Rattus norvegicus: one gene and its partners. The protein of the gene in region 1 purifies or fractionates together with the protein of each later gene. This does not show direct contact. Links are inferred from orthologs where the notes say so. Each region holds a gene or a part of one and is shown on either strand. Other genes may lie near its edges.

Region 1 (3,348 bases):
TCAGCCACCTTGAGCACGTAAGGGAGGCCCCTAGGCCCTTCTGGGCAGAGAAGTAGTGAGAAAGGGAAAGTGGAGAAGGAACTGTCTGTCCCCTTCGCCCTCCTCTTGGCCCAGTCTCTCTTCCAGCTACACAGGGACATAGAAACCAAACAGACATGGGATGGGGTGGGGGGGGCGCTACACACCACCAAACACACAGTACTTTGAACACAGTGCTCACCTCCCTGATCCGGCTGTCTGGACTAGCCCTTCCTACATAGTCACTGCCTGCCTAGTCAACACAAGCCTGATACTCAAACCAAGCCCAGAGGGCGGCCCGTCCCAAGCAGGGTTTCTAGCAAGGTCCCCGGCACCCATGGGTGCTGAGTCACCCTGAATTCCTGACCCGGCACTCTGCCCCCTCTCCTGGGGGGAGGGGCTGGCATCCCATCTGCCAGGGGAGGAGAAAAACCCAGATGCGACACCCCCACCCACCACCACACACAACCCAAAAATAACCCGCAGCCCCCTACACACCAGAAACACAAAAAACAAAATCTCGCATAAATCCAAAGTCAGGAGGGAAGAAAAAAAATTTTTTTTCAAAAGCCAACTACTGCCCCCAAAAGGCTTTTTAAACATTCTCCAAAAAAGTTTATTAAAATGTCTTCACTTTAATGCTCGAAACGGAAAAGGTTCTCAAAATATACATACGCCTCTTTTCTCATAGAAATAGAACTTTTTTATATAATACAAAAAAATAATAAGACCAAAAAAAAAACAAAAAACAAAAAACAAAAACAAAAACATCAACAGCAACAACCCCGCAGGAACATCTTTAAGTGATTACTCAGGGCCCGGCTGACAGTTACACGTGTGTTGCGTCAGTCCCGTGTCCACACGCGCTCAGCCACGTTTGATCCGGATTGCATCAAGTCCCGAAACCCGGTGCGCGGTGCAGGTGCGTGCGCGCGGTGCCCACGGTGTCCCCTCGGTGCAGGTGCAGGTGCGCGCGGTGCACGCACGGTGCCCCGGGCGCGCGCGGGGACGGAGCGCGCGGGGCAGGGCGCACGGTGCCCAGGGTGGCCGCGGCGCCCCCACGCCACCCCCGCCGGGCTAGCAGTGACCCGCCGAGGCCAGCAGCGGCTCGGGCAGCTGCTTGAACAAGTTCCGCAGCGTGCTGAGCTCTCGCGACAGCTGCTCCACCTTCTTCTGCAGCCGCTCGTTCTCCGCCGTCAGCTCCAGCACCTTGTGCTGCGTCTCCAGGTTGCGCATCTTGGCCTTGTCGCGGCTCTTGCGCACCGCGATGTTGTTGCGCTCGCGCCGCATCTTGTACTCGTCGCTCAGCTTGTCCACCGCCTTCTTGGCCTTGGCCTTGGCGGGCGCGGCCGGCGGCCCCGCGAAGCAGGCGGCGGGCGCGGCCTTGGCGTCGGCGGGGCTCGGCGTCCCGGGCGGGCTGGACGACGACGACGTGGACAGGCTGCCGCTGCTGCCGCTCGGCGTCGCCTGGTAGCCCAGGTAGGCGCGCAGGGCGAACGGGAAGCCGGCCGCCATGGCGGGCGCGTCGTCCGCGCGCTTGCAGTCCGCGGGTTCGAAGCCCGGCTCGGCCTTGAGTGCGGCGGGAGGCGGCGGCGGGAAGCAGGCGGGCGGTGCGGCCTTGGCGCCCGCGCGGCCGAGGCTCACGTAACCGTAGTCGGACGGCTTCTTGCTCGGCTTGGCGCCGTAGTCGTCGGCGAAGAGGTCGGAAAGGAAGTCGTGGTGCGCGGGCGCGGGCGCGGCGAAGTCCGCGGCGGCGGGCGCGAGCGGCTCCAGGTAGGGGCTGAAGTCGATGGCGCGCTCGTGCTCGCCGATGGCCGGCTCGGCGGCGGGGGCGCGCGGCGCGGCGCGGGCCGCCTTGGCCCCGTAGGCCAGGCAGTCGGGCTCGTAGTAGAAGTTGGCCACTTCCATGGGTCTAAAGGCGGCGGGCGGCGGCGGGAGGCATGCTGCGTCCCAGGCCAGCAGGCGGTGCATGAACGCGGGGCCCGCGGGCTCCGCTGCGTCCCGGTCCCGTGCGCGGCTCGGACTCGGCTCGGCGGCGGCCGAGCGGGAGGTTTATAAGGCGGCGCCTGGCAACGGGCTGCGTCACGCCGGGGCCCCTCCCGCCGCCCCGCCGCCGGGTCGGTGCGCGTCATTGCCCGGCCGCGGGAGCGCGAGAGGGCGCGGCGGGGAGTGGGGAGCGGCGGGGGTCCGCGCGCGGGATACTGAGCGGTGTCCTGGGCGCCCCGCCAGCCCCGCGATCGCCACGGACGCGGGTGACGCTAGCCCGCCCCCTTCCCGCCCCTCGGGAACACTGAGGAGCGCTGCCGCCGCCCGCCCCCTGCTGGAGGACGCGGTGACTGGTCCGGCTCCTGTCCGCTCTCCCGGGCCCCCAACTTCTGGGAAACAGATCAGTCCACCCGGTGCACGACCCCAACCGTCGGATCCCGCCCGCTGTCCCCGGTCCCCAACTCCCTGGAAACAGCCTTCCACCCGGTGCATGTCCGCCCACCCAGGTGCTGCCCACGCCTCTGAGACCCCAACTCCTGGAAGCAGAACTCTCCACCCTGTGCACGCCCACCCCGGGGATGCTTACTGTCCCCGGATCCCAACCCTCAACCCTTTGTATGGCCCGCCCACCGCACCAGCCTACTCCACTCCCCACGCCTCTCCGCGAAGGTGGCAAGGGTGGGGGTTCTGCCACACTGTGTCTGTGGGTGAGTCACTTTGCTCCTCTGAGTTTCCTCCGTGGACAGTGTTGGTATTGTCGGTAGTGGTGTCCGGGTATCAGAGACAAATGGACCCCAAGAAAGACCCGCACAGCCCTCCCCGGAGGCTGCAGCTCCTCAGGTGGTTGCGGTGGGAACATGGCAGACCCAAGTCCAGTCGTAAGGACGCAACGGTCACCCGGAGAGCTGGAAAAACAAACTCTCCATGCACTTGAATGGGCACCAGGTTGGACCACCAGCCTCTCCCCGGTGAGACTCTTCCGAGAAGGCCCAGGACAACTTTGGGGGCCCACTCTTCTGCCACTCCCAGCCGGGCCACTCAAGCGGGAGCTGCCAACCTGCCTGGGGCTGACCCCCGACCCATTGACCCCAGGCCTGGCCCCGGCAAGCTGGCGGGGTGTTGCTCAACCTTCGGTGTTATCTGCTGAGCTGGGGTGACCTCCGCCCCCAAGAGCTGGAGAAATGACATCTCCCTGTGCCCTTGGGGGTGGGGGGCAGGGAGGGAAAGGATAAGACACTAGCCCTGCCTGCGGCTTTCTGGCCTTCCCAGCAGCCTCTGGGCCAGGAAGGGATCAGGGCCCAGAGAGGCGTGGTGACATCCCCAGGGCCACCCAGCCAGGCCTGG
Region 2 (3,954 bases), on another chromosome or scaffold:
AGAGGCACGGAGTGGGAAGTCACCCACCTGGGCTGCAGAGCTGGCTCAGTATTTAAGAGCTCTTCTGGTCTCTGTGGGCAACTGCATTCATGTACACCACACACACACACACACACACACACACACACACACACACACACACACACACGATTATAAATAAAAATAAATGGAGGTGGTGAGATGGATCAGCAGTTAACAACAGTACTTGGTGCTCTCGGGGAAGATCTGGGTTCCGTTCCCAGCAACTACATGGTAGCTTGCAACCCCTCTGAAACCCCAGTTCCAGGGAACCCAATGCCCTCCTCTTCTGGCCTCCCCAGGCACTGCATGCACGTGGCACACAGACATACATGCAGACAAAATACCCATACACATAAAATATGAATTACTAACTGCCCTACCTAGTGGTCTCCCCATGAACGAAGGAAGCCATCCGTCCCCAAACACTCAGTGCTGACCACCCCATGACAGAAAGGCATCATCACCATTTCAACACTCAGCAGAAACCAGTGCCACGCTAAGGTTTACCAGGTCTCATTCTGATATTTTATTACGTTGACAGGCTAGGAATACTGGGATAAATAAGTAACGTTCTCTCTTACAGAAAACTGTAATATACTACTGAGTCGGATTGAACACTGAGGATTTCACAGAAACATCAGAATTTTAACAGTAGCCAGAGCCCTGGTGGCCAGTGGGAGGGACCTCCCAGCTGAAATACTCTGGACCGCATCTCAAAATAGCTTCAAGACAAAAGCGCAGTTAACATCCCACAGTGCAGACACCTTCCTTGCCCCACTCCTGGCTTCAAATACCAGTCTCCACGGGCTGTGGTTTTTGGTGGGAAGGAAGGGAAAACGGAGAATCCTTGGCTCTTCCTGCCCTGTCACTGAGTGTGGAGTCCTACGCCCTTTGAAAGCGGGACTTTGTGCCTTCGTTCTGTGACATTGTAACAGTTTGTAGCCAAGGACAGCTGCTGTGCCCGGGTTCTTCCTCAGCAGTGGGTACAGGGGAAGGAGGCATCAGTCCTCGGTCAGCACAGAGTAGCACAGCTGGTCATCAGCCAGTTTACATGGCCACCCAAACACTTTTGGGGGATATTGTCCACAGTGGCAGACCCCCAAACTCTCGGAAATCAGGTCTGATGAAACTCCCGGAAAAAAATCACGCCAATGTTGTGCAAGACAAACATCTAAATAGCACAACACCAGGCTCAGAAATGAATGCCCTATGCACAGTCAGTCTAGGACAGAACAGCATAGTTTCTAGAAAGCATACCCTGGCCATTGGACAACTTCAATGATGAATGTTCTCACTCCATCTTCCCTAGGAGGGATGTTGTCAGCCGCAGTGGAGGACGTGGTCCCACCCCACCTGTCAAGGTAGACACTTCTGCCTGCATCCCATTAGTGCGATCCTGCTTTGCATGGGACCCCAGCCTGGGGCCAGCTAGGTCATCTGAGAATGGCCGGGATGGTAAGGCCTAAATCCTGGAGCCGGTGAGACAAAGGATGCTCCTGCCTGCTCCACGGTTCACTCGGGGACAGAGTGGGACAACGCAGTAGTCACCGCAGGCCCTCCTGACCCAACAGCTCGTGGCTGCTGAGATTCTAGAAGTGCACAGGAAGCCAGTTTTCCAATGGCTTCAGGGTTTGGGGTGGAAAAGGAGGATTCAGTAAGGACTCCCCAATTGCCCCCATGCCACCTCTGCTTAGCTCTGCAATGTTCCTTCTTTTATCTGTTGGATAAAAAGGTTCCTCTCGTCTTCCGGCGTCCGCCCGTTCTGAGCCCGGACGATACACGTGGGCCGGTGCAGGTTGAGCATGTAAATCAGATGCTGCTTCTCATTCTTCAGCTCCTCGATCTGGGCCTTCAGTTCGGCATTCACACTCTCCAGTTTCTCTGACTCCTGAGGGATGATCAACAGACAGCAGCATTATGGAGGGAGCCAAGGGGCAGGGAGATGGGGGGCCACCTGGAATCCTTGGGGCTCCCCAGACTGAGACCTGCTAGCAGAACCGTCCTACCACAAGGATGGGAGGACCAAACTAGGTGGAAGGTGGAAGGTACAGGGTTTCCTGTAGAGGGCTCTGAAGTTGGGAGACGTGAAAGAAAGCTTAGGGACAGCACCGAGCCGGGCGCCCATGCTCGATGGAACTGCACCAAGGGCTCAGAGAGAGCTGCTCTAGTTCACTGCCCGTGGGGAAGGCATCTGGGCCCCACAGGATCGTGGGAGCTATCGAGGAACCCAAACGGGTGGTGTGGAGTTGTCTTTGAATTTCTGATCTCACCAAGACTCCCATGTCCACAGACGTATTCTCAGAAACACCAAAGCTGCCCAAGTTTTTTTTCACTGACCCTGAAGTAGCGAGCAGACAACCCAGGCTTTTACATCTCTTTGAGAAGCTGCCCTGCACACACTTGGGAGAGCAGACATGGCCCCTGCAAAGACTTCCAGGCTCTGTAGCTTGCCTTGCCTGTGAACCCATGCTGTACCCCTGGTGCTTGGTGTGGGGTGTCAGCCTCCCAGGGTGCTCAGTGCTGGATAAGCATGGAGTAGAGAGGAGGGTTCAGATCCAGGGAGGAGCACTGTAAGCACCACTTCAGCACCGTAACTTGAAGAGATTAATGCAAGCTTTTCCTGAGAGCCAAAGGCAGTGGCAGGGCTTTGCAGTTTGTATTTGTTAAAACTGATGAGTAAAGTCTCTTTAAATAGGCTGGTGTGACCCGCAAGTCTAGAAACTGCTGGGGATTTGTGCCACAGCATGCATGTGGAGGTCAGAGGTCACGTTTAGAAACCAGTTCTCTCCTTCCACAGCGGGTTCTGGGTGTCAAACTAGGGTGCCACATATGCATTGCAAGGACCTTTACTCATGAGCCAGCTTGCTGGCCGTGTGTGTGTGTGTGTGTGTGTGTGTGTGTGTGTGTGTATGTGTATGTATATATAAATGGATATATATATACACATATGCCTATACATGTGTGTGTATGTATGTGTACACATATACATCTCCAGAATCGCTTCCACCATGCTTTTTTTTTTTTCCTTCGGAGCTGGGGACCGAACTCAGGGCCTTGTGCTTGCTAGGCAAGCGCTCTACCACTGAGCTAAATCCCCAACACCCCCCTCCCCCCCTGCTTCCACCTTGCTAATAGCTTTGCTCTACCCTCTGCCTACAGCTGGCATTTCCCTCCCCTCAGGGGAGGTTGGGCCAGGCGGGACTCACCTTCTGCAGGCACTCTGTCTTCTCTTTTTTCTTGTTTCGACACTTGGCAGCAGCAATTTTGTTTCTTTCCCGCCGCCTCCTTTTTCTCTCATCTTCTTCAGGGGCCACCTATAAAATCCGAAAGGCACACATTTAAATACCAAGGCTGTGGGGTCTTGTGTGCTGTGGGGTCTTGTGTGTCTGTATATCTGCTGTCTGTGTATATATCTGCCACGTGCATTCATGGTGATTTCAGAGACCAGAAGTCAGTGTTGGATCATCAGCAGCTGCTGTGAGCCACCCATTGCACATGCTGGGAGCTCCAGTCCCCTGGAAGAGCGGGAAGTGCTCTTAACCACGGCGCCATCTCTCCGGCCTCGGGCCTGAGGGTTTTGTATGATCTCCCGTCACACGCATGTGCATTCACACATGTGAGTAACAAAATCTAAGTCCTGTTCAGTAAAATGGAATTATATTTGAAATTAGTAAATTAAAGTCTGCTTTAAAGACACAAGACCTGCCTTTAAAATGCATTTGCACTTTGAAACAAGAATTTGAATTTTAAATTAATAACCACTGAATTAATTAACCACTGAAGCTAGAATCAGAAATGACCACATTGCCCCTTAGCCACACTCTCCTGAGAGCGGTGCTGTTTGAGGAGGTTGTGGAACCTTTGGGGTGGGAAACATGACTGACAAGGGTGGATTGTGGCATAAAATGGGTGTTGGAGGGTTTGAACTCCAAG
Region 3 (4,124 bases), about 98 Mb from region 1:
TTTGAAACCTACTTGGTAAAATTAACAGGCATATCTTTGGCACTACAATTTACAAAGTAAAAGGAAAGTATTGTGGGAAGAATGCTGTTCTCATTGGCGCCCTTTAGTCCTCTTTAAAACATTAATACCGATTTCTTAAGCTTTAAAAGAATGAAACGATCCTATTGAAATTGGTATTTTTAAATTATTTCGGTCTTATGTGCATTGGTGTTTTGTCAGGTCTCCTGGAAGTGGAGTTACAGACCAGTGTGGGTTGCATGTGGGTGCTGGGGATTGAACCCAAGTCCTCTGGAAGAGCATCTAGTGCTTTTAACCGCTGAGACATCTCTCCAGTCTCTAAAATTAGTATTTTTATATGTAACTAAGTAAAGGAAATTTGAGAAAAGAAAATCCCATAATTCCAAGGATTTTTCTCCAGGAAAAAGATCGTTGCTTTGTTTTAAAATATGACATGGGATTGGAAGACGGTGTATTTCCTTCTGATCACTGCCTTTGAACATACTCGTATGTGCTGTAATACACCATGTACTTGACGCAGGGTGGGGGCGAAGATCAGCTCCAGTTCTGGCTTCGTAAAATCCAAACAAAGACCTCTCTGAGAAAAGGTTTCTTTTTTCTACACAGGGCTGACTTATTTTGCTTCACTCCGCACACGGGGTGATGACTGCCAAATCCTTTCTCCAAAACCTTTAAGCGTAGCTCCCCGGCTCTGGCTTCTGGGTATTCGGAGGGTGGTTCAGAAGCGTCTCCCTTTATATCCCCATATCCCTAGAGAGGCCGGAAACCAAGATGAAGGAGACACCAGCAGCCGGGGCTGGGTTCCTTTAGATTCCCCCGACCTCACCTTTCTTCTCTCACACCGCCCACGCCCTCCTGTACTCTCCACCGCCACCTGCGCGCGCGCCCCAGATCCGGTACCGCCTCCGGTGCCCGCCTCCCTATGGCTGCCAATCACAGCTTTCTGCAGTTCCCTGGTTACGGAAACAACGGTCCTTGGGCACCCTGGCCACGCCCCTTCGGAACTTCTTCCCGCCTTTCTTGCTCTTCGCCCAATCACTAGCGTCCGAGTGTTCTTTGGTTCCCGCCTCCCCGCCCCCCGCCCTCCCGAAGGCCCGCCCTTTTCCTGGTGTAGGACGGAGTCACCTGACCTGCAGGCGCTCCTTCGGAGGAAATCAGGAAGGGGCGTGTGCGTGAAGGGGAGGGGCGCGAGAAGAAAGCGGCGGGGATGCCGGGAGTGGGGCGGGGAGAAGGCTTGTCAGTCGGATCTCGCGAGAGAGGACGGAAGCCTGTGGGAGCCCGTGGCCTTTAAAGTGCGATTCAGCCCTTTCCTCCGGGGCTAGTTTGTAAACACGGCAGCGCTCCGGGCTCGCTGGTGGCTGAAAGGAACATGAATTAGTGACCTGGAAAGGTGAGTAATGGTGAAAGGGCCACAGGCTTGGAGGCTGTAGGGAGACGGAGGAAGAAGGTGCTAACATGGCGACGTCGCTGCCTGTAGTCCCCACCCCCCGCCTCCCACCCCTTTTGCGCCCCTGCTGTGGACCCCAACCCTCCGGACCGCTGTAGCCGCGCCTCCGCCTCAGGCCTGGCGGACCGACCGGACCGTTAGGTAACGCGCTGGGGCTCCGGCCCCTCCCTCGCGCGCTTTCCCAAGCGTGAGCGAGAAGGAATAACGGCTCCTCTCAGACCCCTCCCTCCGACTTATCCTCTTGTGTGGTCACTTGCGAGGTCCCCAGGGCGCTCTTCGGATCCGCCCATCTGACGGGGAGACCCCCACCTCAGGTCCTTGATCGGGCCGCCAAAGGGCCAATGCTGGGCTCCCCACCGGGCACCGGGCGATTGTGGACCGCGGGGTTTGGGATGAATCCGCGGTGACGGATTGGGGAGCTTGACTGAAAATCTGGCCGGGGTCTCTGGCCTCGGCGGAACATGACGGAGCCAATGGTATGGAGAACCTGGGGGCTGGTTGTCTCGGCCTTTTCTGTCCTTTCTGCCACCCTCATACTCTCGCCACCCCCCTCCCTTTCCAGGTGGGGCGGGGCTGAGGTGTGGGTGCAGGTTGATTCTGCTATTTCCCCCCATTCACTTCGACGGGTGTTCTGCACAGCTTTTGCAGGGAAATAATCTGCCTTGTATTACCCCAGGGACAAGGAAGAGAGGGAGGGAGGGATGTGTGTATGTCTCCCCATGGCGCTCACTCATTGAACCAAGACCTTGGAGGAGATGGGCATTATTTTTATGCAATAGGTAATATAAAATTGTCTCTTCTTAGTGGAGTCTCTTAGAACTGAGGAGGTGGAGTGAAACTACCACCAACATAATGGAGTAAAAGGGATTACTCATGGTGGACCCTTAGGCCTGTTGACTAATACCTAGATTACCTTGTGGAAGTCACAGTTTCTTGGGGATTATAAATTATGGACACGTTCACACCACATGCATGTAATGCTATATTTGAAATCTGACCAAACACCCACTATTCTGAGAAGCTTATTTTGTCCAATTTGAAGGAATTCTTAACCCTTGGCCATTGTCAAGTAATAACCTTTCCAGGAATACTACTCATTAAGCGCCAAATGGCCTGGGTCTCTTGCACCCAAATTGTAAGACTTTATAAAAGCTTATTTTAAAACAGTTAATTCTAGATGACTTCCTGAAATAGAATCTTGTATTTAAATTTGCTAAACCTATTTGAAGAATCCCTGCAATAAACTTTTTTCAAAAGCCAAGAGATTATTTTGTAAAGCATTCTAAAAACATATCCTATATAATTGGTCAAGAAAACTAAGTTCATAGATCTTTAAGGCCATTGATAGTGTTGAGTGATAATTAAACTTCTAGGTCTTAAAAATCATTAATAAGTAATTGCAGAGATGTTTTGATGGGTATTTAAATTTTTAAAGCTGTATTGTTTTGAGATGAATGATACTATCCACTAAAATCATGACTAACATTAAGTCAAGAAATCTAGGGTTTTTTTTAACTTTTAAAAAATCTTGAAAACTTGAGTTTTAATTATTTATCTGTACTCTCCTAATCAATTATATTGCTAGGTCTAGTAAACAGCTTTACCTTACCTGCTGTTTCCACTCATTTTTGCCTTTAGGCTCTTCCAATGTGTGTGTTTCTGTGAACTGGTATTTCTTTTATTACTCTTATTAAAATGCCCGTAGAAAAGTAAATAAATCTTTCATATTTAAAGCAAAATTTTTACTGAAATCCTCCTTGATTAGAATTCAATGAAGTAATTAGATAATTCAACTGACCTCTATGAAAATTATTACATATAATACTCCCAGTATTAACTTGTAACCTACAAAACCACCTGTCCTTATATAATCAATAGTTTAACATTTTGTCTTATATTCACATCTATTTCTTTAGACTGAAATTTTGCCTGAAATGCAACTTGTTCTGTTTGTTTTTTTTAAGGTTTACTTATTTTTGTGTTTTGCTTACATATATGTATGTGCACCATTTATGGGCAGTGCCCTTAGAGGATATTGTAAATCCTGAGTCCCTAAAACTAGAGTTACAGATTACTATGAACTACCATGTGGGTGCTAGGAACCTAGCCCAGCTTCCCTGCAAGAACACAGGAGCTGTTGAGCCATCCTAGTCCTTTGTTTGCTTTTCTACCCGTGCTAGGAAAGCTCTTTTCATTTATTTTTTTTTTTCAGACATAGTTTCTCTCTGTAGTTTGGCTATACTGGAACTTGCTTGTAAACCAGGCTGGCCTCCACCTCATAAAGATCCTGCCTACCTCTACCTCCCAAGTACTGGGACTAAAGGTATGCTCTTTTTTATTGAGGTCTACGTCCTCAAAACCTCTGTGTAATTTGTTTTTATTTTTACATTTGTGTGTGTATATATGCTTGTCTGCCTTCCTGCCTTGTGGATGATAGCATATTTATGGAGATTAAAGGACAACTTTGAGGAATAAATGTTCCCTTTCTCCAACATGAGTTCTGAGGATGAACCCCTGGTCATCAGGCGTGGTGGCAAGTGCTTTACTTACTGGACCATCTCATTAGCCCTATATGTAACTCTATAATGTTGAAGAAATAGTGATCACCATCATTATTATTGTCTTGGGGAGGCGGGAATTGTAGAAAAACACTTTCTTT

What was found.
Region 2: the proteins of Cebpb (region 1) and Atf3 purify together in Homo sapiens (affinity purification with western blotting; 3 studies listed by BioGRID and IntAct, with this or other methods). This does not show direct contact. The link is inferred for Rattus norvegicus from reciprocal best matches to the Homo sapiens genes CEBPB and ATF3.
Region 3: the proteins of Cebpb (region 1) and Atf2 purify together in Homo sapiens (affinity purification with western blotting; 3 studies listed by BioGRID and IntAct, with this or other methods). This does not show direct contact. The link is inferred for Rattus norvegicus from reciprocal best matches to the Homo sapiens genes CEBPB and ATF2.

What each region holds. Positions count from the first base shown.
Region 1 is NC_086021.1:176,815,699-176,819,046, reverse strand, and holds Cebpb (CCAAT/enhancer-binding protein beta), read right to left. Parts: upstream 2,043-3,348; 5' UTR 1,990-2,042; coding exon 1,096-1,989; 3' UTR 611-1,095; downstream 1-610. UniProt on the Homo sapiens protein: Important transcription factor regulating the expression of genes involved in immune and inflammatory responses. Also plays a significant role in adipogenesis, as well as in the gluconeogenic pathway, liver regeneration, and hematopoiesis.
Region 2 is NC_086031.1:105,281,914-105,285,867, forward strand, and holds the end of Atf3 (cyclic AMP-dependent transcription factor ATF-3), read right to left. Parts: intron 3,336-3,954; coding exon 3,228-3,335; intron 1,910-3,227; coding exon 1,712-1,909; 3' UTR 524-1,711; downstream 1-523.
Region 3 is NC_086021.1:79,199,890-79,204,013, reverse strand, and holds the start of Atf2 (cyclic AMP-dependent transcription factor ATF-2), read left to right. Parts: upstream 1-1,268; 5' UTR 1,269-1,408; intron 1,409-1,540; exon of another isoform or gene 1,541-1,941; intron 1,942-4,124. UniProt on the Homo sapiens protein: Transcriptional activator which regulates the transcription of various genes, including those involved in anti-apoptosis, cell growth, and DNA damage response.